Oryctolagus cuniculus: one gene and its partner. The protein of the gene in region 1 interacts with the protein of each later gene in a biochemical or structural test. Links are inferred from orthologs where the notes say so. Each region holds a gene or a part of one and is shown in the gene's direction. Other genes may lie near its edges. The genes, in order: CACNA1A and CACNB4.

What was found.
Region 2: the proteins of CACNA1A (region 1) and CACNB4 form a complex in vitro, tested with the Homo sapiens proteins (2 studies listed by BioGRID). The link is inferred for Oryctolagus cuniculus from reciprocal best matches to the Homo sapiens genes CACNA1A and CACNB4.

The regions. Positions count from the first base shown.
Region 1 is NC_091447.1:62,578,654-62,582,460, reverse strand, and holds part of CACNA1A (voltage-dependent P/Q-type calcium channel subunit alpha-1A), read left to right. Parts: intron 1-2,545; coding exon 2,546-2,653; intron 2,654-2,781; coding exon 2,782-2,882; intron 2,883-3,670; coding exon 3,671-3,774; intron 3,775-3,807.
Region 2 is NC_091434.1:89,783,013-89,786,919, forward strand, and holds the start of CACNB4 (voltage-dependent L-type calcium channel subunit beta-4), read left to right. Parts: upstream 1-1,405; 5' UTR 1,406-1,551; coding exon 1,552-1,614; intron 1,615-1,797; exon of another isoform or gene 1,798-1,931; coding exon of another isoform or gene 1,932-1,940; intron 1,941-2,173; coding exon 2,174-2,257; intron 2,258-3,907. UniProt on the Homo sapiens protein: The beta subunit of voltage-dependent calcium channels contributes to the function of the calcium channel by increasing peak calcium current, shifting the voltage dependencies of activation and inactivation, modulating G protein inhibition and controlling the alpha-1 subunit membrane targeting.

The DNA.
Region 1 (3,807 bases):
GCCAGGGAGTGCAGTGGAGGATGGCCCAGGTGCTTGGGCCCTGCACCCCATGGGAGACCAGGAAAAGCACCTGGCTCCTGGCTCCTGCCATCGGATCAGCGCGGTGCGCCGGCTGCAGCGGCGGCCATTGGAGGGTGAACCAACGGCAAAGGAAGACCTTTCTCTCTGTCTCTCTCTCTCACTGTCCACTCTGCCTGTCAAAAAAAAAAAAAGATTCATTTTCAATTATCTTTATATACAGAAGATCGATTTAGTATATATTAAGTAAAGATTTCATCAGTTTGCACCCACACAGAAACACAAAGTGTAAAATACTGTTTCAGTACTAGTTACAGCATTACTTCACATTGGACAACACATTAAGGACAGATCCCACATGAGAAGTAAGTACACAGTGACTCCTGTTGTTGACTTAACAATTTGACACTCTTGTTTATGGGATCAGTAATCTCCCTAGGCTCTAGTCATGAGTTGCCAAGCCTATGGAAGCCTTTTGAGTTCGCCAACTTCGATCTTATTCCGACAGGGTCATAGTCAAAGTGGAAGTTCTCTCCTCCCTTCAGAGAAAGGTACCTCTTTCTTTGATGGCCCCGTTCTTTCCACTGGGATCTCACTCGCAGAGATCATTCATTTAGGTCTTCTTCTTCTTCTTTTTTTTTTTTTTTTTTTTTCAGAGTGTCTTGGCTTTCCATGCCTAAAATACTCTCATGGGCTCTTCAGCCATATCCGAATGCCTTAAGGTCTGATTCTGAGGCCAGAGTGCTACTTAGGACATATGCCATTCTATGAGTCTGCTGTGTATCCCACTTCCCATGTTGGGTCACTCTCTCCCTTTTTTGTTCTATCAGTTAGTATTAGCAGACACTAGTCTTGTTTGTGTGATCCCTTTGACTCTTAGACCTATCAGTGTGATCAATTGTGAACTGAAATTGATCACTTGGACTAGTGAGATGGCATTGGTACATGCCACCTTGATGGGATTGTATTGGAATCCCCTGGCATGTTTCTAACTCCACCATTTGGGGCAAGTCAGCTTGAGCATGTCCCGAATTGCACATCTCTTCCCTCTCTTATTCCCACTCTTATATTTAACAGAGATCACTTTTCAGTTAAATTTGAACACCTAAGAATAATTGTGTGTTCATTACAGAATTCAACCAAAAAAAAAAAGTGGGAGGCAGGGGACTGATGGGAAGGAGAGACGCAGAGGGACATTGGGGGCACCCATGGTGGGAGGGGGCGGCTGTTTAGCCAATTGTGGAAACAGTGAAATACTCCTCTACTCCTCTGGCCCCTGTCCTGCCTGGCTGTGTCCAGCACCTCTGGGATCCACATCTGGCTCAGCGCAGGGTCTGTGCACCTGCTGGTCAGTGTCTGTGATGGAACCCAGGGTTGGAGTCGCTGGCAGCCCCCAAGGGCCTCCGAGGCACGAACCCTAACAGGTGCATTTCCCACTCCTGCTGTGCTACCCCTGGGCTGTCCCACAATGAGCAGATGCTGCCCCTTGTGTCACCAGCCACATGGTGGGGGGAGGCCCCGATGGAGTTCTGGGGCAGCCCTGGCTGCTGTGGGCATTTGAGAGAGTTGAACCAGAAAATGGCAGATCTCTCTTGGTTGTTCTGCCTTTCAAATAAAATGAAAAAAAAAAAAAAAAAAAACAACTCATTACTTGTCCCCTCCCCTAGCAAACACAGGCAGGGCAGGAAGGACCAGACCCTTCCCTCTCTGCCTCCCTCCCAGCCCCCACGGCCAAGGAATCAGCTTCAGACCAAGGCCAAGTTCACGGCTGGAGACACCTGGGAGAGGGAGGAAGAAACCTTGGTCAGGGAGGCCTCACTCTGTGCTCACTGGGGATGACTTCATCTAGTCCTAGCCACGCCCCCAGAGGCCCCGCCCCCAAACACCAGCATCCCACGGAGTTTGCACACACACCCCCTAATGCCTCCCAGCAGGGACAAAACCTGCAAGTGCGGGTGGACCTCATTCAAGGTGTGCACACCTTCTGTTGGCAAACCAACAGGTGAGGCCAGTCCCAGAGCACCGTCATTCCCCCGAGGCAGGTGGGGAAACTGAGGCGCGGAGAGTGAACTGGAGACCCTCGGTTTCAAAGCGCAGGAGGCAGGATGGGTCTGACTCACCGTCTTTAACTGCTCATCTGTTTGAAAAGCAGAGAGAGACAGAGAGAGAGAGAATCTTCCATCTGCTGGTTCAAGTCTCCAAATGGCCTACAACTTGCCAGGGCTGGGCCAAGCCAGAAGCCAAGAGTTCAGAACTCCATCTGGGTCTCCCACGGGGGTGGCAGGGACCCAAGCACTTAGGCCGTCTCCCCTGCCGCCTCCCCAGGGGGCCTCGATCAGAAGCAGGGTTTGCCAGGACCTTGCTCTGCTACGGGCTGCAGGAATCCCAAAAGCAGTGGATTCACCTGCCTGCCCCGGCCAGGGACCAGAGCCCGGGCAGCTGTGCCCAGAGCTGCCTCTGGACCAGGCTCTAGGGAGCCCTGGAGAGAGCTCCGGCTAAGGGTCTGTGTGTGCCACGCCCCCTACAGGCGGAGCAGATAAACAGCAGATGGACGCTGAGCTGCGCAAAGAGATGATGGCCATTTGGCCCAACCTGTCCCAGAAGACACTGGACCTGCTGGTCACACCCCACAAGTGTAAGGGCCTAGTCTGGGGCTCTCGCTCCTCCCCACCCCAGGAACTCCGATCCACCCACATGGGGAGGGCGCCGGGATGGGGAGAGGACGGGGTGGCACAAGTGAGCTTGCCCTGTGCCCCTCCCCAGCCACGGACCTGACAGTGGGCAAGATCTATGCCGCCATGATGATCATGGAGTACTACCGGCAGAGCAAAGCCAAAAAGCTGCAGGCCATGCGCGAGGAGCAGGTGCGTGCGGGTCTCCCTGGTAACGCCGGGGCTGCCTGCCTGTCCTCACCCACTCTGGGAACCAATCGGAGCAAGGGGTGGGGTTGGGGGTGTGGCCGAGCTCAGGAGCCGGTCCCTGTGCTGTAGGGCCAGGGAGCGAAAACCCAGGTCAGTTTGGTTGGCGTCACCGACACTTATGAAGCGCTTACTGTATGCCGGCTGCTGCTTTTTATTTCATTTTTATGTTTTGGCCTTGTTCAGCTGTGAACAAAACAGAGCAGAAGCAGGGGACAGCTGAGCAGAGGCTTGGAGGAAGAGTGGAGGGAGGGAGCCAAGGGGTTATCCAGGGAAAGGCGCCCCGGACCAGGGGCCAGCAGCCAGTGCAAAGGCCCTGGGGTTGGACTTTGCCTGGTGAGCTTGGGGGGCAGGAGAAGGAAGTGGCCAAGCACAGTGCACCAGAGATGAGGGCAGGGAGGTGGCGTGCCAGGTCCTCCAGGGCTTTGGTGGTGAGGGACGGGGGCCACCACAGAAGGCTCCAGTTTTTGCTCCGGGGTTAAGCCGCAGCCAAGGAGCTAGAGACTGACTCAGGTGCTCGCTGGCGCCCTCTAGTGGCTGTGCGTGGAGGTGCGGGCAGGACCCGGTAAGGCCGGGTGGGATGCCAAGGGGCTGCAGCCCGTAGGATTTCGCCCACCATGCCCCCTTGCCGGGGTGCGCTGAGGGTGCCGTCTGCAGCCTTCGGCCGTGTGACCTTGGCCACTGCTCCCATCTGTCCCCATGCCCCGTGCACCTGCTCCTTGTCTGCTCCCCAGAACCGGACACCGCTCATGTTCCAGCGCATGGAGCCCCCGCCGGATGAGGGGGGCGCCGGCCAGAACGCCCTGCCCTCCACGCAGCTGGACCCGGCAGGAGGCCTGTGAGTGCCGCTCTGGCCGCGGGGCGGGAGGCT
Region 2 (3,907 bases), on another chromosome or scaffold:
AGGGGGTGTGTTCCAAGGAGGCATTCCAAGGCAGAGTTGCTGTATGGGACTGTATTTGGTAGGTCTGGGTGGTAATCAGCAAAACTGCCTGCTTGCTGGAAGGTAGGTGTGGAGCAATCAAGTTGGTGAAATGTGGTGATAATCAGAAATGCAGGGACGCTTGGTGGTTGGACCACAGATTTGGGGCTATGTTTTAGATAAGTGACTTGAGCAAAACAGATTTTGGGAATATGCATTTTCCTATAGTGTCTAATTGGAAGTGTGTGTGTGTGTGTGTGTGTGTAGTAGGGAGCCTAGAGGCAGAGACTAGTTAAGCACACACACACACACACACAACCTTGGCATAAATCAAGGGGGGTAGGAGTGGAAAGAAAGTATCAGGTGGATGGTAAGAAAGAACCAGGACCTCAAGGCCAAGTAAGTCTTAAACATGGCATTTATTTCTGTAAATAAATTAATCAATACAATATTAGAATACAAGGCAGGATGGCTGACCTAGTGATTTGAGAGACCTTGTATATTTTAATGATGGATTCGGTGCAGTAACTATTTTTGAATTTGCATATATTTTTCCTTACTCTTCTTATGACTTCAAATCCCTCTTCGCCACAATCCTTGGCTTTTCGTGTGATTTCAGATTCACCTCCGAATATGTTTGCGGAAGGCAGGCCGCGGCAGCAAGGCAAAGGTTGGGGATGGTGGCCAGGATGACCTCCCTCCCTTGCTAACTGCCAGCCACGGAGAAATGGGAGGCACGTGGCCAACTCTTGCTCCTTAGCAGGTCTAACTTGACCTTCAAAACTCCTTAGGACCTGCCGGTCTCCTGTGAGGGGCTGCATCTTGCCAAAGACTGGCCAGCAGGGTCTCTCGCCCAGGCTGAATGTGTGTGTGCGCACGCGTGTGTGAGTGTGCGGGCGCGCGCGTGTGTCTCGTGGCTCTGAGGCTGGAGTTACCCAAACAACACAAAAACACGAACAGGAAGCAGCCCCCTCATCCCACGTCTTACCACAGCGAGCGGTTGAGTGAAGTCGAGTAAGGAAGGCTGGCTTTTGCCCTTTTAAAATTCCAGGGCGGCGCGCGCGCACACACACACACCCCCACTCGGTCTTTCCCACTCCCCGCCACACTGCACCAGCCTCCCTCCCCAAGTCCTGATTCATGAACCGTGCCACCTTTGTTTCATTTTAAACTGTGCAGACTATTTTAATCTTCCCACCCCCATCCCAGATTTTCCCCTCCCTGCCTCCTCTGGGAAGCTCTGATGTAAAGCGCCCGCTAGGTGGGAGAGAGCTGCTCCCGATCGGCTCGGGGAGGCGAGATCCCAAGAAGCCCCCTCCCCGGGACCCCGAAGCCGGCGCGGGGGCAGCGTCTCGGCCCCTTTAAGGTGCCACGCTCTCCGAAGTGCGGGCGGGGAGCCCGGGAGCCGGCGCGGGGCCAGGGAGCCGGGTGGGGAAGTCCTGCCGCCCTCCCCCTCCGGTCGCAGCCCAGCCTGCGGGGCCCGCGCGCCCTCCGCCCACCGCGCACGGGCTGGCCATGCGGCGGCTCTGAGCCATGTCCTCCTCCTCCTACGCCAAGAACGGGACCGTGGACGGGCCGCATTCCCCCACCTCGCAGGTACCGCCCCCTCCTCCGCCTCCGCCTCCTCGCCGCCCAAGAGCGCCCCGCCTTTGTGCCAGGTTGGCTGGGCCCCCGAGTCCCGGGAGTCGGCTGCCCGGCTCCCCATCCGTTCTCCGCGTCCCTTTCCTCTCCCGCTCCTCCTCCTCCCGCTCCTCCTCCCTTTCCTCCTCCTCCCTCTCCTCCTCCTCCTTCTCCTCCTCCTCCTCCTCCTCCTCCTCATCGTAGTCCAGGTCTTTGCGCTCCGGCTCCGGAGCCCATAGCCTCCCCCAGCGGATGCCGGGGACTCGGACCCCGCACCCCGAGAGTCTTTGTTGATGGATGTGGTGGGTGCTCGCGGGCTGCTCTCCTCGGGAATCTTTTCAGCCGTCCAGGCTTGCAGTGGGTGGGTGGGGGTGGGGGCTGTGTTCGGGAGCCTCGGAGGAGACTTGGGGACTTGGGTGCGGGCTCTGGGGGATCCCAGGGAGCTGGTCCCAAGGCGGACTCTGGCCAGGGTGGTCACCCCGCTCCACGCTGCGGTGCTCACCGGCTTCTCTCTGGCCCCGTGTATCGAGTCCAGGTGGCCCGAGGCACCACGACCCGGAGGAGCAGGTTGAAAAGATCCGATGGCAGCACCACTTCGACCAGCTTCATTCTCAGACAGGTAGGCTGCGGGCGCGGGCGGGCGAGCGGCGCCGGGGGTCCTGGCACCCAGCACGGCCCCCACGTGCGGCGGCAGCTGCAGGTCCGGTCCCTGATCGCGCGCGCCGCTTCGGGCTGCGTCTGTCTCCCAGTAGCCCGGGCTCCTAAGTCTCCGGATCCTGGCGTCCTCGTCCCCGCGCTCGCCTTCTCGGACCGCGTCTCTCTCTCCCAGGCCCGGTATCCCCGCAGTCTTTGGGTCCAGGCGTCTCTGCACCACCCCGGGAAGTTTGTACGGCTTCGGGTCGGCAGGGACAGGGATGTTGGTCAGGCACCCCGAACTTGAGAGCTGGGAATGTTGCTGCTTGCACCTTCCGGACTGGGAGAAACTCGCTTGGAGTCACCGGACCCCCCTGGGTGCAGGGGACCTGGCTTGCGCCGGAGTGAGAGTTAAGGGTTTCTTCTGCCTTTACTATTTTGAACACTCTGTCTAGATATTGGGAGAGATCTTCGAGCTCTAGTCAAAGGAACAACGCTTGGAGCAGAAAGTTCGGTCTCACTTTGGGACCTCTTCTTTGATTCGCTTATTTAGGGGAAAGCGGTCGGACCTGGTTAAATAAATGCAAGTAAGCCAACGCCGGCACTCAGTAGCCGGGGTCTGCGCGGTTTGTATTAGGCGTTTTATTTATTTTTTTTTCGGCGTGGTTCCAAGCAGTGTTGTTTGTGGCCGGCACGGCCACGAAGGCTGAGGCTGATGTGCCTTTCACCTTGACACAGGAAAGCGGTCCTGAATTTCCTTACTGTACGTGAAACCACCCCTAGCGCTGGGTGCTGGAGATCATGCAAAAGTGAGTCACCTTGATCTCTCTTTGGAACGGAAACCGCTGGGGTGTTGGCATTTGGGGTGGCCTGGGAAGACTGTAGTTAGCTCACCAAGAAGCTTCCCTCTCAGGTTCTGCCTTGGTCTGCTGGGGTGACCTTGAGAACTTCCTTCCCCTGTAGGTCAGTCAGATCCTTGCGTAATGGTTTCAACCTGTGATCGCTGCGGTGTGTTTGTGAAGTGATGGTTATCATCAGTTGAAACAGATCATGGCCACTGAATGGGCTTTAGACCCACAACTGGGCGCAGACCTCTCCTGAAGGGTCTGTTTCAAGCGGGTTTGGATTGTATTTATTATGCAGAATTTCACCTGCTGCAGGATCAGGAATTGTCACTGCTATTTAATTCAGTGAGCACAGAGCATGTGCATGGTTAAGAGAAATACCTTTGGATTCTGCATTCATTCTCAAAGTGGGTTCCATTCCCTTTGCAATGCTAGCTTGTGTACTTGGTAAGGCAAAGACAACGTTCATATTTTAAACATTTGTGAATTACACTGTTGGAGGTCTTGTGGTGTAGGTGCCTATTTTGGGGAGCACTTTATTATTGTAAATTCTTGGAAATACTATTATATGGCTCTGCATTCCATGAACTGTTTGACCAGAACTTTTGAGTTAGCCCACACTATCTCTGCACTTATACTTTGCTCTTCCAAACACAAACAAAACAGTATTCTTTTGATCTTTCCTTCTGTCCTCAGTTTATGCCAGTAAGTGAATCAGATAATATGTTTTTGTAAAATGTGCTGCTGTGTGCTGGCTTAAAAATGTAAAAATCATTACATGCTAAATAATT